Linked DNA regions of Xenopus tropicalis. The protein of the gene in region 5 interacts with the protein of the main gene of each other region in a pairwise test. Links are inferred from orthologs where the notes say so. Each region holds a gene or a part of one and is shown on either strand. Other genes may lie near its edges.

Region 1 (3,149 bases), on a different chromosome or scaffold from region 5:
TTGTGCTTAGTACAGGGGAATCCCTATGTGCCATAGTTTTATGGTATCTCTCTGTACAGGCTATGAGCAAACTTAGGGGGCTGTTCCTGCTGAATTGTGCTTAGTACAGGGGAATCCCTATGTGCCATAGTTTTATGGTATCTCTCTGTACAGGCTATGTGCAAACTTAGGGGGCTGTTCCTGCTGAATTGTGCTTAGTACAGGGGAATCCCTATGTGCCATAGTTTTATGGTATCTCTCTGTACAGGCTATGAGCAAACTTAGGGGGCTGTTCCTGCTGAATTGTGCTTAGTACAGGGGAATCCCTATGTGCCATAGTTTTATGGTATCTCTCTGTACAGGCTATGAGCAAACTTAGGGGGCTGTTCCTGCTGAATTGTGCTTAGTACAGGGGAATCCCTATGTGCCATAGTTTTATGGTATCTCTCTGTACAGGCTATGAGCAAACTTAGGGGGCTGTTCCTGCTGAATTGTGCTTAGTACAGGGGAATCCCTATGTGCCATAGTTTTATGGTATCTCTCTGTACAGGCTATGAGCAAACTTAGGGGGCTGTTCCTGCTGAATTGTGCTTAGTACAGGGGAATCCCTATGTGCCATAGTTTTATGGTATCTCTCTGTACAGGCTATGGGCAAACTTGGGGGCTGTTCCTGCTGAATTGTGCTTAGTACAGGGGAATCCCTATGTGCCATAGTTTTATGGTATCTCTCTGTACAGGCTATGGGCAAACTTGGGGGCTGTTCCTGCTGAATTGTGCTTAGTACAGGGGAATCCCTATGTGCCATAGTTTTATGGTATCTCTCTGTACAGGCTATGAGCAAACTTAGGGGGCTGTTCCTGCTGAATTGTGCTTAGTACAGGGGAATCCCTATGTGCCATAGTTTTATGGTATCTCTCTGTACAGGCTAGGAGCAAACTTAGGGGGCTGTTCCTGCTGAATTGAGCTTAGTACAGGGGAATCCCTATGTGCCATAGTTTTATGGTATCTCTCTGTACAGGCTATGAGCAAACTTAGGGGGCTGTTCCTGCTGAATTGAGCTTAGTACAGGGGAATCCCTATGTGCCATAGTTTTATGGTATCTCTCTGTACAGGCTATGGGCAAACTTGGGGGCTGTTCCTGCTGAATTGTGCTTAGTACAGGGGAATCCCTATGTGCCATAGTTTTATGGTATCTCTCTGTACAGGCTATGAGCAAACTTAGGGGGCTGTTCCTGCTGAATTGTGCTTAGTACAGGGGAATCCCTATGTGCCATAGTTTTATGGTATCTCTCTGTACAGGCTATGAGCAAACTTAGGGGGCTGTTCCTGCTGAATTGTGCTTAGTACAGGGGAATCCCTATGTGCCATAGTTTTATGGTATCTCTCTGTACAGGCTATGGGCAAACTTAGGGGGCTGTTCCTGCTGAATTGTGCTTAGTACAGGGGAATCCCTATGTGCCATAGTTTTATGGTATCTCTCTGTACAGGCTATGGGCAAACTTAGGGGGCTGTTCCTGCTGAATTGGGCTTATCCAGAATATCATCAGGACTCAATGTATCTGCCATTAATGAAACAGTATCACTCTGACAAGCCCCATGTTAGTGCCGCACTGGCTACAGGATGACATGAGAGCCAATCAGAAGGGACGTGGGTAATAAGGTCAGTGACACGAGCCCCTCTGCCCGCTATAATAGAAACACAGAGATAAAGGGACGGTATAAATGAGAATCCATGGTTTCTGGTACGAGGGCGCCCCCTACAGCTCTGAGAGAAAAGGTTTTATAAGACAATAGAAACAGTGCACGTGATTCCCATTGGCCGGAAGCCAGAGGGGGGCGGGGAAACTGTAGCACATTGCTGTTACATTAGTGGGGGCCCAGGCACCCCCACAGAATAAATACTGAATGAATAATACTATAAACCTCGTGCAGCACCTTTGGGGGGAAACTGACCAATAGGGAGACGCCTGCATCTAAAGGCAGCCAATCAGATGCTGAAGATTCCCCCTGCGGCTGCACGGTGGGTAGGGCTCAGCACACAAGGCGGCAGACTCAGGCTTTACCTGCCCAGGGAATGTCTCCGGTCGGCCTCACTCTGCGACGCTCGGGTTGATGTTGAACTGTAACTCCGCCTGAATCCTGCAGGAAAGAGGCCGTTACACCTATAGGTTTCCCTTTAACGCTTTACAGGCTTGATTAAGAGCTGATGGGGACTACAAGTCCCAGAATCCTTAGCAACTAACTACAGATCCAGCACCGGTACCTACCTGGGAAAGAATGATTGAGTTTGCTTGCCGGGATTTCTGAGAGGGAGTCTACTGAGCCGGACACCCTGCATGGCAGAAGGCAGTGATAGGGTTAATAGATACGCACTGTACAACCAATAATATTCTCTACTATTGCCCCCCCCCCCCCCGCAGCAACGTAACTGCCACTCACTCGCTTATATACACACAATATTCACATTGCTTTATTGAAGAATATGTATTAGATATACTGAGTGACGATAGACAGATAATACACACAAGCAATAATGGGGGGCTGTTCCTGCTGAATTGTGCTTAGTACAGGGGAATCCCTATGTGCCATAGTTTTATGGTATCTCTCTGTACAGGCTATGAGCAAACTTAGGGGGCTGTTCCTGCTGAATTGTGCTTAGTACAGGGGAATCCCTATGTGCCATAGTTTTATGGTATCTCTCTGTACAGGCTATGGGCAAACTTAGGGGGCTGTTCCTGCTGAATTGTGCTTAGTACAGGGGAATCCCTATGTGCCATAGTTTTATGGTATCTCTCTGTACAGGCTATGAGCAAACTTAGGGGGCTGTTCCTGCTGAATTGTGCTTAGTACAGGGGAATCCCTATGTTGCCATAGTTTTATGGTATCTCTCTGTACAGGCTATGGGCAAACTTAGGGGGCTGTTCCTGCTGAATTGTGCTTAGTACAGGGGGAATCCCTATGTGCCATAGTTTTATGGTATCTCTCTGTACAGGCTATGAGCAAACTTAGGGGGCTGTTCCTGCTGAATTGTGCCTAGTACAGGGGAATCCCTATCCTGCCATAGTTTTATGGTATCTCTCTGTACAGGCTATGAGCAAACTTAGGGGGCTGTTCCTGCTGAATTGTGCTTAGTACAGGGGAATCCCTATGTGCCATAGTTTTATGGTATC
Region 2 (4,292 bases), on a different chromosome or scaffold from region 5:
ACAAATCTTAATATAAAATATTGTGCTCTGGGCACACAATAAGCTGTACCCCCATACTGCACTGTCTAAGGGAAACAATATGGCACCTCCCTCCCATATGTATAAATACAAATATACAGAGAAGGAATGTTCTGGGCACACAATAAGCTGTACCCCCATACTGCACTGTCTAAGGGAAACAATATGGCACCTCCCTCCCATATGTATAAATACAAATATACAGAGAAGGAATGTTCTGGGCACACAATAAGCTGTACCCTCATACTGTACTGTCTAAGGGAAACAATATGGCACCTCCCTCCCATATGTATAAATACAAATATACAGAGAAGGAATGTTCTGGGCACACAATAAGCTGTACGCTCATACTGTACTGTCTAAGGGAAACAATATGGCACCTCCCTCCCATATGTATAAATACAAATATACAGGGAAGGAATGTTCTGGGCACACAATAAGCTGTACCCTCATACTGTACTGTCTAAGGGAAACAATATGGCACCTCCCTCCCATATGAATAAATACAAATATACAGAGAAGGAATGTTCTGGGCACACAATAAGCTCTACCCTCATACTGTACTGTCTAAGGGAAACAATATGGCACCTCCCTCCCATATGTATAAATACAAATATACAGAGAAGGAATGTTCTGGGCACACAATAAGCTGTACCCTCATACTGTACTGTCTAAGGGAAACAATATGGCACCTCCCTCCCATATGTATAAATACAAATATACAGAGAAGGAATGTTCTGGGCACACAATAAGCTGTACGCTCATACTGTACTGTCTAAGGGAAACAATATGGCACCTCCCTCCCATATGTATAAATACAAATATACAGAGAAGGAATGTTCTGGGCACACAATAAGCTGTACCCCCATACTGTACTGTCTAAGGGAAACATTATGGCACCTCCCTCCCATATGTATAAATACAAATATACAGAGAAGGAATGTTCTGGGCACACAATAAGCTGTACCCTCATACTGTACTGTACTAAAGGAAACAATATGGCAGCTCCAATGAAGTTACTTTTTAATCAAGAATTCTGCCTCACGATATGCTCAGTGAGTTTTTTTCAAAAAAAACATGATATCCACTCCCTTAGCTAAAGGCTTGGGCAGTGCACCTGAGCCTCTCTTTCTCTGCAGTGAGTTGTTGGACATATTTAGAATCACACAATAAGCTGTACCATCATACTGTAATGTGTAAAATACAAACATATTTATACAATATAAGAAGACAAGGCCTAGAGATTAAAAAAACATTTTGCTCCCAGAAGCTAGCTATAGGTACATACCTGGGCCATATATTTGCCCATTTAGTTTATTTTTTTTATATCTATCTCATTTTTGACACATTTACACTTTTCCTATTCATACATTTCCCTTATGAAGCATGTCAGTCTCGTTTATGACGCAAGACGCAGCACGTAATGACGTATTGACGCCGCCTCTTCCCGTCTCTATGGTGCGTGTGAGTCAGCCCTTTCTCCCCGCCCACTCCCTGCCTGACAGCCGGCTGAAGCTCCCCGCCCTGTGTGGCGTCACTGGGAGGCCGGCTCAGGAGCACTGCGAAGGCAAGATGGCGGCCACCACGGTCTCGGGTGAGCTGGGTGACGGGGCGCTGCGGGACAGGGAAGCGGGGGGAGGGCTTGCTGAGGGCAGGTTGCACCGCCGGCCAGGAACTGGCTTCTCTGGGGTTCCTGCTGTACTGTGGGGCGGTGCCTTGGCCCGGGTAGCGCTGCTGCGGGGCCTTCGCACCTCTCCGCACGGCTCTGCCCTGTCAGGAGCCCCGGGTTCCTGCTTGTGCCGGTAGCGCGGAATCAGCTGCCCCCGGAGGCCTGGGAGGGAAGCACTAGGTGTTACAGCTCCCAATCCGCCAGTGACAAGACTCGGCCCTGCCTGCACTGCTGTTCCCCCGGGCTGGGCGGCTGCAGAGGGCTGCCTGGGCTCTCCCTTACTAATGCCGGGCAATCAGACATGTTTGACAGCTGCAGGGCCACACGTTTAAAGGGGAACACCGCCCACAAACAGGATTTATTGCAGAAGAATTACTCAGCAACGTCCCAATAGTCACTGACTTCCACTGGGTTTTGCCACATAGGCAAATGAAAATTCTATGTGCTCTGCTGGTACTGACTCCTGAAGCAATGTAGCAGAAACCAGGGGATTAATAGTGCAGTCAGGACTAGAGAAAAAGGCACTACATTCAGTTTCTAATTGTTTCCCCATCAGTAGTGTGGCCTAAAGGTGGCCTTACACTGTAAGAAACGCTTGCTTGGCGAGGGCGCCCATAGAGTGGATCTCCTCCCGATATGCCCACCCTAGGGCCAAATTATCAAATTAAAACAGTGGGCATAGGCACCGTTAGTGCAGTGACTGCATCAATGAGGTCCCCGGTCCGACAGAAGAATCAAACCTGCCCGATCAAGATCTGGTGCCCATACACAGGCAGATAAACAGGGAGATTGTTGGCGCCCATACACAGGCAGATAAACAGGGAGATTGTTGGTGCCCATACACAGGCAGATAAACAGGGAGATTGTTGGTGCCCATACACAGGCAGATAAAAAGGGAGATTGTTAGCGCCCATACACAGGCAGATAAACAGGGAGATTGTTAGCGCCCATACACGGGCAGATAAACAGGGAGATTGTCGGTGCCCATACACAGGCAGATAAACAGGGAGATTGTTGGCGCCCATACACAGGCAGATAAACAGGTAGATTGTTGGCGCCCATACACAGGCAGATAAACAGGGAGATTGTTGGCGCCCATACACAGGCAGATAAACAGGGAGATTGTTGGCGCCCATACACAGGCAGATAAACAGGGAGATTGTTAGCGCCCATACACAGGCAGCTAAACAGGGAGATTGTTAGCGCCCATACACAGGCAGATAAACAGGGAGATTGTTGGTGCCCATACACAGGCAGATAAACAGGGAGATTGTTGGTGCCCATACACAGTCAGATAAACAGGGAGATTGTTGGTGCCCATACACAGTCAGATAAACAGGGAGATTGTTGGTGCCCATACACAGGCAGATAAACAGGGAGATTGTTGGTGCCCATACACAGTCAGATAAACAGGGAGATTGTTGGTGCCCATACACAGGCAGATAAACAGGGAGATTGTTGGTGCCCATACACAGGCAGATAAACAGGGAGATTGTTGGTGCCCATACACAGGCACATTGGATCTAAAGGACTGATATATTGGCAGCTGAAATCAGCCAGCGTATGGCCATCTTTACTCAGTTTAGGGGAAACAGTAGTTTTTTTTTTTTTTTTTTTTTTTTTTTTTTTAAGCCCCCGGCAGCACTAGACTGCCCTCACCAGGAGCGAGCTCCCCAAGTACCTGCCACAACTCGCTCATTATGCGCATGCTTGTGACATAGGAGGGTGAATCGCATACGTGGGAAACAACATGGCTGCCCGCACTGGGAGCTGCCTCCATCAAGCTAATGCACTGTATCCTATGGCCACAAACTGGCACCTTCCCTAGTTCCCTGGGGCACTATAGGAAGCACAATACATAACTTCATATTAATATTCTGTCATGTTAGACATCCAGTCTGTGCCCGTGCAATGTCCTGCACCCCCAGGGCATTATTTTCAGGTGCCCTGGAATCCCTTGAATACTTCCTTCTAGGTAGATTGAAGTCTGGGCAGTACAGTTAGCTGGTAGATAAGTGACCATTCTGTCTGGTCTCAACATGAATCTCAGCCTCAGTTTGGACAGGTTAAACAGAACTGTTTGGGTCCTGTATAAGGGTGAAGACACACTAAGCTACTAGTAGCAGCTACTTTCTCATGGCTATTAAACTCCAGAAAATCCCCTGCCATAGACAATACTGAGAATTGCCTCTGCTAAAACACACATAGAGACAATTATCAGTAAATGATCAGCATTGTCTATTTTAGTAGCCGTGACAAGTAGCTGCTACTAGTAGCTCTGTGTGTCTTCACTCTAAATATTACTAGCAACTAACTTGATTTGCCATTTCAACAAGCCTAGATGTCTCCTTATGGATAAAAACTAATTCCTAATATGTATGCTTTCATTGCTATATGCCATGGTAATTTAATTTAACAGGGAATTTACCTCTTCAACAGGTTTCACCCTCCCCCTTTCCGAATAGGAAGTGTTGTAACTTTCACAGCTTTTCCCTTGAGGTTTAGCAGTTTTTTTTTTTTTAATATATAGTTTGTGATACTAAAAGACCTCCAGGCTATCCATACATGCTCGGGATTGTAATGTAGATACTGCAAGTTGCAGGTT
Region 3 (4,009 bases), on a different chromosome or scaffold from region 5:
CCAGCCACAACCCCCCCAACCCCAGCACCAGCCCCAGCCCCAGCCCCAGCGATGCGTCCTAGCGACGTCGCGTGCGCGCCGACGTCACATGCGCGCCGACGTCACGTGCGCACGGGCGCAACCCGGATGTAATTGGATAAAAACTGCAGGAGGCGCGCATACCGGTATAGCGGTATGTTCAAAAATCATATCGTTTTTTTTTCAAAAACCGGTATACCGGTTAAACCGGTATACCGCCCAGCACTACTTAGGTTTACAAAGCGGTCTGCAAATCTTTATCAGCAGTTTTCAAAATTTAAAGGAGAAGGAAAGGCTAGTAAAGAGTTAATCTCAAGCTGCAGGCATACCTTCAGTTGTCTCAATAATGCCCTTAAGTCTCCCCACATTTCTCCTGTTCAGATGATCAGAAGCCAAACAGGAAGAAAAAACCCTAAGCTGTGTAAAGAAAGTTCCCATAATGCCTCACTCCTGCACAGACACCGAGACCACTGAACATGCTCAGTTAGTAAGACTATGAGTCAGCTTCCTGCTGATTGGCTCAGATCCACATTCCTAAGGGGGGTTGTGAGTTCTTAACATTCTTGAGGGAGGGGGGAGAAGGAGAGAGCAGAGAGCTGAAAGCTGCGTGTCTCTGGCACAGGAATTACAGACACAACTAATCTTTTTTCAGAGAAGTCAGTGCAGTGTTTCTGTGAGTACTTATGGCTGTATTTACATAGACCTTTCTGATAAAGCTTACTTAGTTTTTACTTCTCCTTTAAGACTGTCCCCGTAGATAAAGAGCAGTGACTGGGGGGTGAACCTGAAGGCCAAGGTGGGATTTAGGGAAAATGCCTAAATCTTCTCCTAGATCAGTGCTGTGCAACATTTTCTTGGAAAAGTATGGCCACGACCATAATGTGACTAAATGACTAGCGTGTCCCTATAAGATGACGCCTGGGACAGCTAAACTAAGCTGTGTCCAACACAGCTGCTGTATGGTAAATGTCCTGTGTCTACAACAGAGATAGATTCAAGTTCTGGTGGCTCATAAAATAATAATAATAAAAACAGAGTAAGTAAATTTAGAGTTGTTAATGGCTAGATTTAATTATATGCGTCACCTGTAATTAGCACTGACCAGTTGATTATATGTGCTGATTATGAGAGACACAAGTAAATATAAATGTCGATTTACATTTTCGCCGGTGGGATGGCATTTCGGGGAGATTAGTCGCCCGAGACACAGGAGATTTGTTGCGGGCGACTAATCTCCCTGTGTGCCAGAGCCCTTAGAATCCGAACCAAACCACTGAAAAAAGCTACAGATGCAGAATGTGGCCTTCAGATGGACATATACATACACAAACCTGCATTCACAGATATATAGTGCCACATAATGTTTCCCCTACACACACCCCCAACCAAATGATCACGTGACCAGAAGCATGCACCCACAATACTGATCCTGACTCACATTAAATAAAGTGTGCTAACCAACGACGTTCAGCAGGCAGGAAACCCAGCCTGCAAATTACCAGTTTGTAAATTCCACTGATGTAGGTGCTTATTAATAGAAATAGTACTTTTGGCATGGCCACATTCATGTAATTCTTTAGGCTGCCACCTTACACGGTCAACGGTAAAAATGTCACAGAAAAAAGTCACTTTAACTTGTGATCTTCCTCCATTAGAGGTGTCTGTAGCACCTTCCCTAAACTCATCTACACAACTGTGCCCAAGGTCTCTCACACTTCCTCCTGTCTCTCACCTTATTTAAAGACGATGTTAGTGAAACCAAAGGCCTAAAACACATTTTTTTAACCCTACATTAATGTCTATACCAGATAATCTGGTGTTTAAGAATGCCGTTCGGTCACATGACATGGCTTAGTCCTCCCAAATCCCTTCTGGGTATTGGGGACTCAAAATAGGCAAATGGCTCAGCGGAAACAAGATTTTAAAGGAATCCAAATCACCTCACTTGACCTCTGGCCAATGCCATGGCACCTATTGCTCTATGGATGGTCCCACCATTAGAAATAGCCACACAGGAGAGCGCTGGGCAAGCGTATGTAAGAAATAGAATGGCAAAGTTAGTGAATAAAGAGGCCAAAGTGAGTGAGACAGAAAAGGTGGATTTGTATTACTTAGTCATATCAACCAACTACCCTCCTGTGTTTCTCAAAAAATGTCTATATCTTCTATTCCCCCTTTATGGCAGCTTTTAAGACCCTCAAATGAACATGGGGCCCCAATAAATACGCCCTTTATGCCCCAACTGGAGCTGGTCCCCTAATGGGGCGTAATCACTGGCATAACCAGACATCATTGGGCCCACAGGAAAATTGATATTGGGGACCCCCTAAAATTAAATAAGAATAAGCCCTTCACAAACATTCAGTGAAAGTGTTTATGAGCGGCCCACCCGGCCTCAGGAGTCGCACCCCCCCCCCCCCCCCCCCCTTCCTTAATAGTTCCACCCACGGCCCGTACTACCGCCCAATGAGCTGCCGGGGGGCTCCGGCTCCAGTCACACCTGGGGGACACTGAATGGGCACACCTGCCTGGGAAGCACAACAGCGATGGGGGGGGGGGGGAGAACAAAACTGAGTTGTATGGACCTAAGGGAGGATAATAACCACCCTCTGCCTTGCTGCTGGTGGGACAGCCCAAAATAATGTTTCTGTGAAGAGAAGCTGTAAGGGGGACACTTACCTGCCGGCAGGAGAATAACTCGAAGTGGAAGCCCTTCCCGTTAGTTGCTAACTAGTCCTCCCCACAGCTGCCTTCTCCCGACCCGTCTCTTCACAGCACTGACGTCACGGCACGGAGATGGCGCTGACGGAAGACAAAGGCAGTCGCACACTCGGGCAGAGCAGGGGAGAGCACAGGGAGGAGGGGTGGGCGGGGCTAAGGCGGGAGCAGGAAGGAGGGGTGGGCGGGGTTCAAGGCGGGTGACGTCATTTTCCGAAAAGTCGGCCCCGTGACTGTTGCCAAGGGTAACGGGAAGTTGAAGACTCCGGGGTGGGGTGTTGCTATTTTAATATTCCCATTTCCTCCATTCTTGTTTTCATGAGTTAAACACAGAGAACACAGTCATTTGTTAGGAGCTATCCCCTACCTAGCCGGGAAAAAGTGCGACCCCGCCCCCCCAAGATTGTAAAGGGAAATTTATTGTGCCGGGCCCGGCCCCTTTTTCTTCTGGGTTTTTATTGATATGTAATTTGTATGTTTTATACCATTCTGCTATACAGCACTGCAGAGTGTGTTGGCTCTTTGTAAATGTTTATAGTAAAGGGGGAATGAATGTCCATCACTAGGGTTGCAGGCTGGCTAGTAAAAAATATATAATTAATAGGGAAAACAAAAAAATATAGAAAAGCTGGTGTTTTCCCAGAAAAAGTGGGAGCCCTACCCCTCACACGCATTCTAATAATAACAGGACTGACACAGGGCTGATGTGCCTCCCACACTAACCAACATGCAGTGCAGCTTCTCTCTGTCCCAGCTCCTATACCTAGCCCCTATATACAAGCCTGGGGCCCATAACAAATTTACTGGCAACATACTTGTCTGTAAATTTATGATAACTATTCCATCCACCCCAGGCCTGCCTCCCATCAGCCCTTGCAGCTTCCAAAGAGACTAGCTCTACTTACAAAATGGCCTTCCAGTTCAGCCTGACTACCCTCTTGCGCCATAACCCTTTCCCTTTATGTCACATCCCACTCCTTTGTGCCCACCCTGCTCTCTCATAGCTCCGCTCCTGCCATTAAAATAACTCTTCAAAGGTGGCAAAGCTATCATGGATAAGGGTTGCTACCTTTTTCTGTGGCTAGTACTAGCATTTGGGTTGGTGGGCGGGAAGTGACATTTGAGGGTGTTGCAAGGGTCAGGGAAATGGGCAGACTGGGCAGGGGAAAGGTGCATGGAGCCAGTAAAGGTGGTCATACACATGCAGATTGTAGATGCCGATATCGGTCCCTTGGAAATCGGCCAGATATTGATCGGGCAGGTTAAAAAATTC
Region 4 (3,500 bases), on a different chromosome or scaffold from region 5:
ATACTATTTATACCAAATCTGACTCTCTGGGTCTAAGGCCTTTGACATAAAGCAGTGCTTTATGTAGAACCTAAAGGGACAGTATACCCCTTGTAAAACATAATGCATAATGGACTCCTGCTAACAAAACAGTCACAACATATTGTGTATACTGCTAATTATCTACCGTGCAAGGACTATACATGGAGTAGCTTCAACTTTCCTGCAAAAAAGTCAAAAGTTGCATTGCATAGCATTTTAACTATTAGCAGACAAGTTACAAAAGTGTATGTTCAATCTATGTTCAATCAGCTGACTTAACAGAAACGCCACCCAAACATTTCTAGCATAATAAAGAAAATACAATTTAAGCAACTCTCTAATATACATCAAGTCAAGTGTTTTATACAACAATCACACGTGGCATACCATCCACATACCCTCTTATCTGCAGCTCTCTGTAGCTGCACGGCACTGGCCAGAGTGCAGCTACATGGGACTGTGATTGGCCTGAAAACACATGCTTTCACCTTTTTCATGCTGATCTCTGTTCCCTGTAGCTGAACTCAGGCTGAAGCTGTGCCTGTTAGATAAGACATGAGCTTCTCGCAGGCAGAGAAAAGTGGACAGTACACATATCTGTTACAGTAGCCTTAGCGTTACTTGTAAATGTAATTGCTGTTGAAAGGGGAATCTGTCTGTGCCTTTCTAGGGTCTGTCCTGCTGGTTCTGACAAGAGTCACTAGTTCAGAAAGAATAAATAAAAACAGCTTTCAGTTGCAATTACAAATAACTTTAAAACAACTGTCAATGTTTACTTAATGTTATTGCAAAGTTGCTTAGAATTACATTTTCTTTCAGTAAGCAAACCATGTTTGGGCGGAGTTCCCCTTTTAAATCACTTAATTGCTCTGGATGAAAAAGGGAACTCACGTGGAACTTGAACATGTGAATTAAGCAGAAAAACAACTTACTGTTTTCTTGAACTCTTGCCACAAATCCCATCAAAGGAAGCTGTGGCGTTACTTGTAGAATGGAGGGAGGAGGAGGAGCATGTGACACTAAAAAGAAGCAGTTTTATTAAAATGTATGGCTGCTCTGCAACAAAAATACTAATAGACTGCAACACAACACAATCAGAAAAATAATTTAATGTGCCACAAAAGGGCCACTACACAGAGATAAATGTTTTTATTTAGGAAGATTTTAATTGTACTTGTACAATATTTATATTACACAATATTTATTGTACCTGATTTGGCACACTACAAAATCACTCACTTACATTATCAAGAGAGAATGTAATTTATACATATTTCAGGTAGTTTCATATGAAATACACATACACTGACAGTAAGGGCATTGACACATGGGGAGATTAGTCGCCGCGCAACAAATCTCCCTGCAATGCCACCGCACCAGGTAGAATGTAAATCGCTGGTGGGATGGCATACGCGGCACTGCGATTTGCTGAAGTCGCCCAAAGTTTCCTCTCAAGGAGGTGGGATTGCATTGTGGGGAGATAATTCGCCCACGACAACTAATCTCCACGTGTATCACTGCCATAAATAATTAAGCAGAATGACCAACTTGGATACCCAGTGAATTTGGTAGATCATCTGTGGTGTTACTAGCAAGTAACAACCAACGCCTTTGAAGCTGTCTGCATTGTTTCCCCATCTAGCTGAACTTGGTATTTAGTATTTGTGGCATTCTGCATTGGACTACTATAGAGCCTTAAAGGAAAAGTAACACTAAAAAATTTGAAGTAAAAAATCTACCTGGCTGCTTCCCCCAATACTTCCCCTGCATCACCGTATCGCCTTTCTTCAAATTACCGAAAGCCAAGTTTAAAAAGGTATTTTGTACTAAAGCATTCAAAATAATAAATGGTTTGTAGGATAGGGCAATTATTGGGGCAGGGTAGAATAGATTTTTTACTTAAAAATTTTTAGTGTTACTTTTCCATTAAAGGAGAAGGAAAGGTAAAAACTAAGTAAGCTTTATCAAAATGGTCTATGTAAAAACAGCCATAAGCACTCCCAGAAACACTGCACTCTATCAAAAGGAACACAGGATTTTTTGATAAAACTCACTCCCCCCACCCTTAGGAATGTGTAATCTGAGCTACAACGGCTAGGGCTGCAAGCAGGAAGCTATGAAGATCAAGCTAAAATGGCAGCTGCTATCTTAAAGGATATGAAAATCCCACACACAAAAATGTAATCAGTGAACAGCCTCTTTGAAATCTTTCAATACCTGCCACTCTGGTTGTCCAGCGGTTAATAGTAAGGCTGCAACATCTCCTTAATCACTTAGATTTCCTTCTTCTCCTGTAACCCACTTGCCCCCCACCTTGGGAATTTGCTTTGACGTCTGGCTTGTGGACATGCTCAGTTGTTCTAAGCTCAGATAACTAAACATGCCCTCCAGTCTAGCAGCCAGTAAAGAAATGGCATTGCTGGTTCCCATAGAAACTCAGCTCTAGCTGACTTCAATTTTTTTTTCCTAACCTCCTCTCCTGAGCTCAGCTCAAACAAATCAGAACTTTATCAGAGACAGTTGTGCCTGTGTGAGCCTGTATTTTTGATGAAATGTATGCTGAATAAGGGTCTGTGTGTGTGTGTGCTGTTTGCAGATTTAAATGTATCTGATTATGTATCAGAGGAAAAATGGCCACCGGGTGAAAGCTGCTATTTGCTTTAGGAACATGTGATGGTGCTGGCAAGTGGAGGGGATATATGCAGTACAAATGATGCCATTTGGGTGGGGGAGACGTGCCCAACTGTTATACATTGTAGGCAAATGTAGGCTTTACAAGTCCTTTAAACAGAGAAAGCTTCTAGGGCTCTTTACTCAGGTATGGCACTAATGTGGCGAATCTACTGGCAGTAAAATGCCAAAATTACTTTCCTTTAATTATTGTTTAAAGGAGAAGGAAACTGTAGTCAATTGTGAAATAAATGTAAATTGTAACCTAATTTTAAAGTCAATTGTTAAGTCCATTACTAATCTGCACTGCAGTTTAAAAAGTGTGATGGGGATAAGACTATCCGTTATAAAAATTCCCATCTAACTCCAAGCTTCCCACAAATCGTTAAAAAATATAAAAAAAATATTGCAAATTAACATTTACTCGTAATCACTTACAAGATTTGCTGAATCCATAACAGATTCCTGCATTTGGTGCATGCTTTCATAAATGCTCTTACCTGGGTTTTGGCTGTAGAAAGGCCCTCCATTTATCTGGTTCTGAAGGCTGGGCTGGGTGGTCATCGACGGAGGGCGCCGATAGGGCAGAGAGCCTCCAATTGTTGGTGGATTGTGCCGAGATACTGGTCTGTTCATACTGTAAAACTGTGCAGGATGCCCTAAAAGGTGTAAAAATGATGGTGCAATGCTTAGGAATTATTTAAATGTTTGGTATCGGGACACAAATTACTAGGCTATGTATATTCATAAAAAAATACAAAAAGGCTTTTCCTGAGGAAGGAAACATATGTGTTGGGGGCATGCCTGAT
Region 5 (4,116 bases):
GATTCTTATTTTGCCACGTCTTTTTTTCTTCTGAGTGGCCTTTTATAATATAGCAAAAGCCCTGTTTTTAGACTGCAAGCTGTTTTGGGCAGGGCTTTCTTTAATGTGTTAGTTACCTACTACCTACTGTTCCTCTGATTCTGGAACAGTAGTACTGAGTTTAGTTATTCTGTAGTGGCCTCTGGTTATGTAGCATAATTACTAAGTTATTCAGCTGAGTGGCCTCTGGTTAAAGAACAGTAATACACATATGAGACTTACTATTCTGAATGCCTGCGACCTGGTGTTTTCTGGATAAGAGTTTTTTCAGTAATTAAAAATTATTTAAACATTAAACCCAACAGAATTTTTTGCCACCAGAATGGATTTATGTAACTTAGTGAGGATCAAGTACAAGGTACTGTTTCATTGTTACTGAGGAAAAGGAATAAATAAATAAATAAATAAATAATTTGCTTAAAATTTGTGGAATCTGTGTATAGTGGCCTTCCCATAATTTGAAGCTTTCTGGATATTGGGTTTCCAGATAAGAGATTGATACCTGCTGAGCAGCTCCTTTTTATGTTGCAGTGGTACTGAGTTTAGATATTTTTTTTAGCAAAGTAGCATCTGAAATCTGTACATTTCTAAAAGTGGCCACACACAATTTCGATCGTTCCCACCCTCCACTGACGTTCAGGGCTGAATCGTCAGATATGGGGGTAGAAACAATAGAAATTCTACCTCCTTCTGCCGATTCAGCCCTGAACCGATATTCACAGCCTTTTGCGATATCGGTCGCCTCGTCAAGCCACTATACGCGCACCGAATATCGTACGAAACTAGGTTTTGTACAAAATTATCGGTGTGTGTGTGTATGGCCGGCTTAAGGCTGATGTCCCACGGAGCGAGCTAGTCGCACAAGACAGATATCTGCTACCGCAGGCGACTAACCACTCCGAAATGCCTTTTCACCGGCAACAATAGGAGTCACTGGTAGAAAGGCCTACGCATCACTTCAGCTTTCCGAAGTCGCACAAAGTTTCCTCCTGCAGGCAACTTTGAGTGTCTTTGGAAAGTCAAAGCGATACATAGGTTTTTCCACCAGCGACTCCTATTGCTGACAGTGGGAAGGCATTTCAGAGCAATTAGTTGCTCATGGTTGCAGAGATCTATCGGGGGCGACATTGGACATTAGCTTAATATCCATAGAATCCAAAGTATGGTAACATCAGAACAAATTCCTTTCGGCTATGTTGTAATGCAATACAGTTACAAGATCCAGGTATGGGATACCATATGCGGAATCCTGTAAGCTCTAAATTAAGGGAAGCCCATCTCCAACAGAGTCAATTTTAAGCAAATAATTGTACAGGTATCGGACCACTTATCCGGAAACCCATTATCCAGAAAGTTTTGAATTACGGAAAGGCCGTCTCCCTTAGACTCCATTTCAAATAAGTCACATTTAAAAAATGATTTCCTTTTTCTCTGTAATAATAAAACAGTACCTGTACTTGATCCCAACTAAGATATAATTACCCCTTATTGGGGCAGAACAGTCCTATTGGGTTTATTTAATGGTTAAATGATTCCCTTTTCTCTGTAATTATAAAACAGTACCAGTACTTGATCCCAACTAAGATATAATTACCCCTTATTGGGGGCAGAACAGCCCTATTGGGTTTATTTAATGTTTAAATGATTCCCTTTTCTCTGTAATAATAAAACAGTATCTGTACTTGATCCTAACTAAGATATAATTACCCCTTATTGGGGGCAGAACAGCCCTATTGGGTTTATTTAATGGTTAAATGATTCCCTTTTCTCTGTAATAATAAAACAGTACTTGTACTTGATCCCAACTAAGATATAATTACCCCTTATTGGGGGCAGAACAGCCCTATTGGGTTTATTTCATGTTTAAATGATTCCCTTTTCTCTGTAATAATAAAACAGTACCTTGTACTTGATCCCAACTAAGATATAATTACCCCTTATTGGGGGTAGAACAGTCCTATTGGGTTTATTTAATGGTTAAATGATTCCCTTTTCTCTGTAATAATAAAACAGTACCTTGTACTTGATCCCAACTAAGAAATAATTACCCCTTATTGGGGGCAGAACAGCCCTATTGGGTTTATTTAATGTTTAAATGATTTTTTTTAGAAGACTTTAGGCAGTAGATCCGAATTACGGAAATATCCCTTATCCGAAAAAACCCAGGTGGCCGAGCATTCTGGATAATGGGTCCCATACCTGTAATTGTTTTTTTTTTTTTTTAAGTAAATCCTTTTTCTCTGTAATGTAAAAACAATGCATTGTACCTGGGGGAGCATTCGCTGCATGATTCCATATTTGTAGCAAATCAATACAATTGGGTTTATTTAATGTTTAAATAGTTTTTAGCAGCCTCATCTGGAAAACCCCACAGCCCATACATTGAGTATAATAAACTGCCAGTGTATGATCACAGCTGGTAAAATAATGCAGTAAAGTTGCAAATGTTCTCTACATGCATTATATTCCAAAGCAAATGCGGAAACATTATTTGATTGCTTTTATTAATATGTAGAATTTATTAAAGATCTTTCCTTTACAGCTTAATATAAAATATACATTATACTTGAATATGATTTAACAGGAACCCGTGACACATTCCCAAACCCCGGGGGGTAAAACTCCAATTGAGTCCCAATACGGCAATGCTGCGCCCCAGCCCTCCCAGCAACACAGCCGTATGGGGGCACTTCCCCCCTCCCCAGCACTTTACGTTTGCAAGGCACAACGTTCGCTTCTTACCTGCGGCAGGCAATCCGATATCACAGGTCAAAGTTCACCCGCTGACGCCACTTCCGCTCAGCCAAACTGCATGCTGGGTGTTGTAGTGTTTTCGAGGTAGAGAAATGACATGCGCCCTGCAATGTGTATCTGCTCGCTCTATACGGACAGTGCATAGGTTACGAAAAGTAATAAGCAATTTCATAACAATATGAATGAATAGCAAAGCTGGAGTGTATCCATGTTAGTCAGAATGTTGAGAATTTATTCTATATGAATAAAAAAAAATATGTAAAGAAAAATGTTTATTTGTTCAGCTGAGGTAAACAGCAACTTTGGCTGAGCAGCAGGGAGTTTGGGAAACCGGAAACTCCACTAAACGCCGATGAACACGGTCTAGCTGGAACTCAATAAAAGATTTTTGTAGAAACTAATAGCTTGAATTTTTTTATATATTTTTCAGGGAGTTTATTGCAACTTTCTAATGGCTGGGGCTAGAGCCACTGCAGGATTGGTTTTGAAGTTCTTTATTTTTCTTCAGAAAAAGTGGCAAATGCCATTCCAGGCCCCCAAATGACATAAGATTGGGGATCCGGAAATAGTTAAGGAATAGTCAACAAGAGCCACAAACTGTGCACGCTGAGAATTTTTCAACTATATGTGAGGAAAAGTTACATTTTAAGAATTCGGGTTCAGTTCAGCCGGGCACATGGATTGGGCCGAAATCCTGGCGAAAAAGGCTGAATACCAAACCGAATCCTGGATTCAGTGCATCCCTTATATATACAGGTATAGGACCCATTATCCAGAATGCTTGGGACCAAGGGTATTCCGGATAAGGGGGTCTTTCCATAATTTGGATCTCCATACCTTAAGTCTACTAAAAAATCAATAAAACATTAATTAAACCCAATAGGATTGTTTTGCATCCAATAAGGATTCGTTATATCGTAGTTGGGATCAGTTACAAGGTACTGTTTTATTTCTACATAAAAAAAGGAAATCAGTTTTAAAATTCTGAATTATTTGATTAAAATGGAGTCTATGGGAGACGGGCATTCCGTAATTCGGAGCTTTCTGGATAACGGGTTTCCGGATAAGGGGTCCAATACCTTTATATATATATCCCTAATATCTCTGCCTTCCAAAGATCTCTAAAAACACATTTATTTAGAGAAGCTTACCCTCATTTAGTTTAACATAACCTCAGTGTGCCCATTCCCACACCTTGGGGCACATTTACTAATCCACGAACGCTCCAAATGCGTCTGTGTTTTTTTCGTAATGATCGGTATTTTTGCAACTTTGCTGTCACCGTCGCGACTTTTTCGTATCTTGCATGTATTTTTCACAACT
Region 6 (3,500 bases), on a different chromosome or scaffold from region 5:
CTGGCAAGTCTGGGCTATGTAAGGGGATCACTGAGCTCTTTGGAAACCTGTTGCTTAGCTCTGAGACCTTCCACCTGGTCCTTCTATCAATGAATAAATGATAAAAAGGGAGTAAAGTTGCAATGTATTATACACACACGTTTTGAGGCCAGTGCACACAACAAACTGTGGTGTGCATGCCAAGAATTTTGTTTGAAAGCAATACATTTTGTATCTATTCTGAACTAAGCACAATGTTTTTAAAAATGCGCACACAAGTTTAAAATGTTTAAGAAGAAATTAAAGAGCATTGTCGGTCAGGACTTTTACAATGAGAGGGCCATATCACTTATGTGCATACTCTTCAGCTATATCGTGAGCTATATAGGCCTACTTGATTACATGAATGAAGACAGCCTGTTTATTTAGTCTAATTATGTTACATAAATGTGAATATTACAGACTATTATATATCACATAAATAGTTAGTTAGCTTGTTTATAAATTACACATGAATTACCTGATAAACTGCAGAGTGTGTGCAACTGGGTATCCATCTCTAATAAGATATGCTTGGGGGTTGTTTCAGAATTCTGGATTATTAAACTGCAAGAGAGAAAACTGTGTATTTCTGAACATTTCACATATTCATATTTCATATTGTTCCAGAAATAAACATGTAATTAAAACATACTGTTTGTTGTAATTCCACTGTGAGGATGTTCCTGTATTGAAAGTTGCTTCATTATAACCTGAAATATATGAGAGAGGAATATTTGCACCTTCCACACAAAAAAAATATCAGATCTCAGGTGCATAATTACACCATCCACATGAGAGTGTATCACATCAATTGAGAAAGAGAGGGTAATATGCATACGGAGCATCAAATAAGTATATACCACAAAGAAAAAAGAGCACCATTCCCCCCAACACCAAACAGGTAAATGAATGTCCAGAGACATGATAAATAGAATGAAAGCTTAACTTTTATTTAAAAACTTTTATTTTGTTCAGAAGGGGGAGGAGAAGGGGTGTTGACGGCGCCTGTTTTAAGTGCGAGGGTGACCTGTTGGTGGGGTTGAAGGTTGGGACTGAGGGGAATTTGTCCTACATAATTTCTGTTAAACTATTAATGTGGATGGCTAATGTGATTGGGGGATGACTCTGAAGGAAATACACGATACCTAGGTGTACTTGCTGTTAATTGATTGAAACAAAAAGGGACAGCGTGACTCTGGCATCTGCACTAAAAAGGATTACTTGATACTAAAAAACGATGATGTTAATACAATTGTTGCAAAGCCTCTGTTGAGATTATATTAGCGTCCATGATTTGGATGGGGAATTTAAGACAGAGTGATACAAGTTGCTAAATAAGGTGGGGACAAAAGTATCAAATTCACCACTTGGGTTGCATTAGTACTAATTGTTTGTTTTCGCCTTATACCCATGATTACCCCTTAGTGATGACAAGAATGTGTCACAATACGGGTTTTTTAATTCATGTTTTTTTAGGAATTTATATAGGGATTTTATTTATGTAAATAAAAGTTAAGCTTTAATTCTATTTATCTTGTCTCTGGGCATTAATTTACCTGTTTGGTGTTGGGGGGAATGGTGCAACTGATTGGAGTCTAAATAAAGATCACCTAAGGGGTGCTCTTTTTTCTTTTTGGTATATTCTTTATAACCTGCAAGAAAAATAAAATACAAAGCCAGTTCACTAATTAGCAAAGGAATAATTTCTAATCATGCAGTGTTATCCTTCATTTGTTGCCATGTAAATATCAAGATGGCCATACACAGCAGATCTTCTTAATTGGAATCAAACAGGCAGATTTAGGCCCAATTTGGCCTCCCACATACTGGGTCAAAGCAGGCAGATCATCATATCAAATTAAGCTGATCATACTTTGGGGCCTACAAAGACGTCAATGTACTCACCGCACACCCTGGCCTTTCCAAAATTTGTAACCCAGTGCTCAGGACACAAACAAGGGATCAGCACCCCCTATTCTTATGCAATAATTAAAAAAAATGTACTGGCACAACATGTGTAACAATTTGGGGCACGCTCCTACGTCAGACATAGGGACCAGTAAAGCAGTGAAGGTATTAAAAGGAAAGCAGTGAAGGTGTTAAGCTTTAAATACCTTCACTGCTTTACTGATTCATATGCCTGAGTAAGGGGCATTAGTTTACGATTATATTATAACATATTAATTTCATTTTGTGCATCAGTTCGATAAAACTCCAGACACAGGCCAATGCTAAATCAGTGTTATCTGCATTCTTCATTCAAAGTACATGTCCGTTTTGACACCAGTGACAACTGAATGCTGTTTCAAATATTATCTATATATTTCTGCTGACAGCTTTTTAGTTATTGGCTTAGAAAACAGACCACTGCACACTCTTCACTAGTACTAGAAATTTTAGAAAAATTATTTTGTAGGAACTTTTATGAGTTATGTGATCACTAATATGCATTAGATACCTTATTTACCTAATTTATAAGGTGCATCAAATGATATAATATTACTTAAGTTTCATATATACTCTTCACAAGGACTATTATTGAGATGCACTGAATCCTGGATTTGGTTGAGGATTTGCAAAATCTAAGCCTTTTTCAGTGGGATTTGGAGGAAACAAAGTATATGACAAGCACAAATGCAAATTATGGTTCAGATTTGGTTCAGAGTTTGGCCAAATGCTTCATTCAAAGTTGTGATTTGGTCAGTTACCAAAAAAGTGGATTTGGTAATATTTTACACTATAGGGCTTATTTACTAAGCCCACAGGCACAAGTGCATGGACTCTACATATTGCACCTGATTAAAAATGCACCACAAGGTACAGAAAGCAGCATCAAAGTGGCTTATGAATACAGCATTGGCAAATGAAGGCAGCTGTATAGTAAAGAAAAAGATGCAGACAGATCTTCACAGTGCAGCTTAAAAGGCTGGATGCACACTGCAAAGAGCAGCTTTTCGATGAGGATATTGTTTGTCTAAAGACTTTGAACTTGTGTCTTGGACAGCAAGAGTATTTATACCTTGTTTGGCACTCTGTCCCTAAACCATCACTACCAAAAAATGTTGTTAACGTAAGACAGTGCGGCAAGGCTTGTTTGACCTGTTATATAGCAATAAAGCACTATTAAGTTTTATATTTCCTATGTAAATAAAAAAAGTTTAGTAAAACTTAATATGTAGAGCTTTAATGTATTCAGAAAGAGCAGCACACACCACTCAACCAACAAACTGTTTCTTTATTACAGTTTTTTTTCCCTTTCACAGGATCTGTTGCCCTCTGGTGAGAAACCTAGATATTGCACTTAGGCCACTCAAGTCTTTACAGATTTGCAATCAAGCCACACAAGTTTTAAAAGATTTGGGCCAGCCTTAGGACTTCTACTGATAAGTGTATGGTTCAGTGCTCCCCTGCAGTGGCATTCTACCACGTTCCATCAAAGAGAAGATCAGGAACACCCCCCCCCCCCCCCATTCTTCCTT
Region 7 (3,992 bases), on a different chromosome or scaffold from region 5:
AGGTGACTTATATTTTGCATTGGCGTTGCTTTAGCTTTGCAAAGTAGCCGAAGTTGCCTCGAGGAAACTTAGGGCTACTTCGGAAAGTAGCCACTCATGTTTCCCCACTGGCGATTCTCACCATTGCCAGTGGGGAAAAACATGCAGGAGATTAGTTACACACAGAAGACGATATATATTGCGGGGGACTAATCGCCTAGTGTCATTGACTTGCCATTTTACCTCTTTAAAACAGGATACATTTAAAACCTGCATGGCTAATTGTCAATAAATAACACAGACTGCATGGCTATTAAAAAGGAGGTTCCTTCCTTCAGCACATGTATGTATTTCTAAATGTAATGGATGTCAGTCTTGTTTATATACAGGCTGTATTCTGCACAGGTAGCATCATGGTCTAATTAGTGTCAAATAATAGAGACTAGAGTTATACCAATGTATGTATGTATGTATGTATGTATGTATAACTTTGTTTATAAAGCGCCACAAGGGTACGCAGCGCTGTACAATCTTACAGAATACAAAATTACACACAGGGAGGACTAGTGTTATAATAAATAAATACAATAAATATATATAAATACACAGAGAGTAAGTGCCATGTGGTATGAGACACAGTAGGAAGGAGGTGCCTGCCCCGTAGAGCTTACAATCTAAGTGGTTGGGTAACATACAGGCACAAATTGGAAGGTAAAGGTGACCACACCTGGCGATTTTCAATCTTCCAATCGCCACTAACCTTCAAGGCTGAAACAGCAGATATGGAGGTAGAAACAATAGGATTTCTACCTCCTTCTGCTGATTAAGCTCTGAAGGCAGATTTTGCTCGGGCGCTACACAAAATCTTTTAACCCACCTGATTAGTGGCCTCCTGTGATATTGGTCAGATATTTTATGTGTTAATGTGAAAATACACCATTATGAATAAATGCACTAGCAAGGCTTCCCAAAGCTTATTATAGGGGTAACAATGCATACCATTTATACAAGTGAAAGGAAAACAACAGCACTCAACTAACTTTTTCACCTTTCTAGCATAGACCTTTACAAACAGGCGCTTGGGGGGTACGGAGGCCCTTCAGTTAGAGGAAGAAGCAGTGAGAGGCCAGTGAGCTCCCATAGCTGTGAGAGGCCAGTGAGCTCCCATAGCCGTGAGGCAGTGAGAGGCCAGTGAGCTCCCATAGCCGTGAGGCAGTGAGAGGCCAGTGAGCTCCCATAGCCGTGAGGCAGTGAGAGGCCAGTGAGCTCCCATAGCCGTGAGGCAGTGAGAGGCCAGTGAGCTCCCATAGCCGTGAGGCAGTGAGAGGCCAGTGAGCTCCCATAGCCGTGAGAGGCCAGTGAGCTCCCATAGCCGTGAGGCAGTGAGAGGCCAGTGAGCTCCCATAGCCGTGAGGCAGTGAGAGGCAAGTGAGCTCCCATAGCTGTGAGAGGCCAGTGAGCTCCTATAGCCGTGAGGCAGTGAGAGGCCAGTGAGCTCCTATAGCTGTGAGGCAGTGAGAGGCCAGTGAGCTCCTATAGCCGTGAGGCAGTGAGAGGCCAGTGAGCTCCCATAGCTGTGAGAGGCCAGTGAGCTCCCATAGCTGTGAGAGGCCAGTGAGCTCCTATAGCTGTGAGAGGCCAGTGAGCTCCTATAGCTGTGAGAGGCCAGTGAGCTCCTATAGCTGTGAGGCAGTGAGAGGCCAGTGAGCTCCTATAGCTGTGAGAGGCCAGTGAGCTCCTATAGCTGTGAGGCAGTGAGAGGCCAGTGAGCTCCTATAGCCGTGAGAGGCCAGTGAGCTCCCATAGCTGTGAGAGGCCAGTGAGCTCCTATAGCCGTGAGGCAGTGAGAGGCCAGTGAGCTCCCATAGCCGTGAGGCAGTGAGAGGCCAGTGAGCTCCCATAGCCGTGAGGCAGTGAGAGGCCAGTGAGCTCCCATAGCCGTGAGGCAGTGAGAGGCCAGTGAGCTCCCATAGCCGTGAGGCAGTGAGAGGCCAGTGAGCTCCCATAGCCGTGAGGCAGTGAGAGGCCAGTGAGCTCCCATAGCCGTGAGGCAGTGAGAGGCCAGTGAGCTCCCATAGCCGTGAGGCAGTGAGAGGCCAGTGAGCTCCCATAGCTGTGAGGCAGTGAGAGGCCAGTGAGCTCCCATAGCTGTGAGGCAGTGAGAGGCCAGTGAGCTCCCATAGCTGTGAGGCAGTGAGAGGCCAGTGAGCTCCCATAGCTGTGAGGCAGTGAGAGGCCAGTGAGCTCCCATAGCTGTGAGGCAGTGAGAGGCCAGTGAGCTCCCATAGCTGCCCGGAGGAGCTGATTACCTTGGAGGCTGCAGCACAGAGCCAGCTGGGCCCCAGCACGGAGTAGCGAGCGGCCACCATTCTCCAGAAGCCACCGTTGGGCAGTCCAGGAGCCCAGCAGCGCCATTGTGTCCCCTGGCCGCACCAACTGCAGAGGGGTAATACCTATTCCGGCCTTGGTGATTTTATTGGCAGTCCGTAAGCTTAAACCACTCAGCTCCTCTAGTGAATAAATGTTCAAAGTTCTAATATCTTATTATAAGTTAGAGGGGTGAGCTTTCAACGGCATACTGCACGTAGATGCAGCCATTCTCTTTGCTTCCCCCTACAGCTGACAGCACGACGTGGTATATTCCAAGATGGCGGCCTCCATGCTGTGTCGGCGTGTGTTGGTTTCCAAGTCCCGGTTATCCTCGCTCGGCAGCTTAGTGACAGGTATCGGTGTATGAATTTCGGTGCATGAAGACTCCTCAGACTGTATATTCTCCCGCTGTGTCTGAAAGAGCCCGAGTGGCTGATCCGTAGCTGCTTTTCTGTGCTGGGGCTTGTGCGGGGAGAATGACATTCGCTCTGGAGCCGCTCGATGCACCGTCATATTATTATATTATAGTTACAGGGTGAAGAGTTCTCTCTCTCCTCGGAGCTAAACTTCCCCTTGTCTGTTGGTTTTTATTTGTTGTACAAAGTTTAATACACACGTTCTTGGTGCCCCTTTACCCATGTATCATGTATATACCCCACTTCCCAACATTGTGTATTTGTAATCAGGGAAAAGCCTGATACACTAGCTGAGCAGTTTGGTACAATAGGCATGCTGGATTTATTTTGATAAACTTCCCATACAAATGACATTAACTTTCAAGCAAGCACCCACATTAACCTTGCACCCAGCCCTGTCCTCAGCCCCTGTCACTGCAGGGCAAGTACCTTCCTTCCTCCCCAAAAACAGCATTCATGAGTGTCAGGCTAGGGGGTCCACACTGATGTCCCACTTCTGTTCCCTTAAGTGATCCCCAACCAGTGGCTCAGGGGCAACATGTTGCTCCCCAACCCCTTGGATGTTGCTCCCAGTGCCCCCAAACCAGGTAGTTATTTTTGAATTCCTGACTGGGGGGCAAGTTTTGGTTGAATAAAAACAAGATTTCCTACCAAATAAACCTCTGGTAAGCTGATAGTGTGCATAGAGGCTGCCTAATAGCCAATCTTAGCCTTTATTTGGCACCTCCATGAACTTTTATGGTGCTTGTGTTGCTCTCCAAGTCTTTTTACATTTGGCTGTGGCTCACGAGTAAGAAAGGTTGGGGAGCCCTGCCTTAAGTTATGCATCATTCAGACACACCAGTCAGACATGCTATGCAAAGTAGCCCTGTACTTATCACCTTCTATTTGGCAGGAGGCAAGGAGAGAACTGACTTGCCCCTGTCGGCACTGCAGTCTGCCCGTTGTGCATGATTTTCAAAACAGCACAAGCCATATTTCATCCTTCTGTAGGTGCCGGGCTGCACACTAGAGCTATTGATGCAGGAAGTGGGATGTATATGTATGTATCTACATCTACATATTTTAGGAGACGGTAATGGCCAATGTTTATTTTAAACAGTGCCACATCCCCAGACCCCAGTGCATATGTCACATATAGGATTGTCACCTGCCCAGTATTTTTAGCATCTTAGCTGGTAAAACACCAGCCAAGATCAGGATCGTTATTCTAGAATTACCAGAGAA

Evidence for each region.
Region 1: the proteins of trim32 (region 5) and clip4 interact in binary tests that used the Homo sapiens proteins (3 or more experiments, as listed by UniProt). The two-hybrid records come from large-scale screens. The link is inferred for Xenopus tropicalis from reciprocal best matches to the Homo sapiens genes TRIM32 and CLIP4.
Region 2: the proteins of trim32 (region 5) and ube2v1 interact in binary tests that used the Homo sapiens proteins (3 or more experiments, as listed by UniProt). The link is inferred for Xenopus tropicalis from reciprocal best matches to the Homo sapiens genes TRIM32 and UBE2V1.
Region 3: the proteins of trim32 (region 5) and sdcbp interact in binary tests that used the Homo sapiens proteins (3 or more experiments, as listed by UniProt). The two-hybrid records come from large-scale screens. The link is inferred for Xenopus tropicalis from reciprocal best matches to the Homo sapiens genes TRIM32 and SDCBP.
Region 4: the proteins of trim32 (region 5) and abi2 interact in binary tests that used the Homo sapiens proteins (3 or more experiments, as listed by UniProt). The link is inferred for Xenopus tropicalis from reciprocal best matches to the Homo sapiens genes TRIM32 and ABI2.
Region 6: the proteins of trim32 (region 5) and ube2u interact in binary tests that used the Homo sapiens proteins (3 or more experiments, as listed by UniProt). The link is inferred for Xenopus tropicalis from reciprocal best matches to the Homo sapiens genes TRIM32 and UBE2U.
Region 7: the proteins of trim32 (region 5) and ptcd2 interact in binary tests that used the Homo sapiens proteins (3 or more experiments, as listed by UniProt). The two-hybrid records come from large-scale screens. The link is inferred for Xenopus tropicalis from reciprocal best matches to the Homo sapiens genes TRIM32 and PTCD2.

What each region holds. Positions count from the first base shown.
Region 1 is NC_030681.2:6,120,748-6,123,896, reverse strand, and holds part of clip4 (CAP-Gly domain-containing linker protein 4), read right to left. Parts: intron 2,312-3,149; coding exon 2,247-2,311; intron 2,119-2,246; coding exon 2,043-2,118; coding exon of another isoform or gene 2,039-2,042; intron 1-2,038.
Region 2 is NC_030686.2:36,460,929-36,465,220, reverse strand, and holds the start of ube2v1 (ubiquitin-conjugating enzyme E2 variant 1), read left to right. Parts: upstream 1-1,492; 5' UTR 1,493-1,590; coding exon 1,591-1,612; intron 1,613-4,292. UniProt on the Homo sapiens protein: Has no ubiquitin ligase activity on its own. The UBE2V1-UBE2N heterodimer catalyzes the synthesis of non-canonical poly-ubiquitin chains that are linked through Lys-63.
Region 3 is NC_030682.2:116,370,579-116,374,587, reverse strand, and holds the start of sdcbp (syntenin-1), read right to left. Parts: upstream 2,801-4,009; 5' UTR 2,698-2,800; intron 1-2,697. UniProt on the Homo sapiens protein: Multifunctional adapter protein involved in diverse array of functions including trafficking of transmembrane proteins, neuro and immunomodulation, exosome biogenesis, and tumorigenesis.
Region 4 is NC_030685.2:54,227,341-54,230,840, reverse strand, and holds part of abi2 (abl interactor 2), read right to left. Parts: intron 3,351-3,500; coding exon 3,192-3,350; intron 1,041-3,191; coding exon 954-1,040; intron 1-953. UniProt on the Homo sapiens protein: Regulator of actin cytoskeleton dynamics underlying cell motility and adhesion. Functions as a component of the WAVE complex, which activates actin nucleating machinery Arp2/3 to drive lamellipodia formation.
Region 5 is NC_030684.2:34,070,289-34,074,404, forward strand, and holds the start of trim32 (E3 ubiquitin-protein ligase TRIM32), read right to left. Parts: upstream 2,801-4,116; 5' UTR 2,782-2,800; intron 1-2,781. UniProt on the Homo sapiens protein: E3 ubiquitin ligase that plays a role in various biological processes including neural stem cell differentiation, innate immunity, inflammatory resonse and autophagy.
Region 6 is NC_030680.2:84,737,277-84,740,776, forward strand, and holds part of ube2u (ubiquitin-conjugating enzyme E2 U), read right to left. Parts: intron 732-3,500; coding exon 674-731; intron 586-673; coding exon 500-585; intron 1-499. UniProt on the Homo sapiens protein: Catalyzes the covalent attachment of ubiquitin to other proteins.
Region 7 is NC_030677.2:182,870,178-182,874,169, reverse strand, and holds the start of ptcd2 (pentatricopeptide repeat-containing protein 2, mitochondrial), read right to left. Parts: upstream 2,801-3,992; 5' UTR 2,703-2,800; coding exon of another isoform or gene 2,627-2,702; 5' UTR 2,395-2,626; coding exon 2,289-2,394; intron 1-2,288. Other genes in the region: mrps27 (28S ribosomal protein S27, mitochondrial), read left to right, coding at 2,627-2,702. UniProt on the Homo sapiens protein: Involved in mitochondrial RNA maturation and mitochondrial respiratory chain function.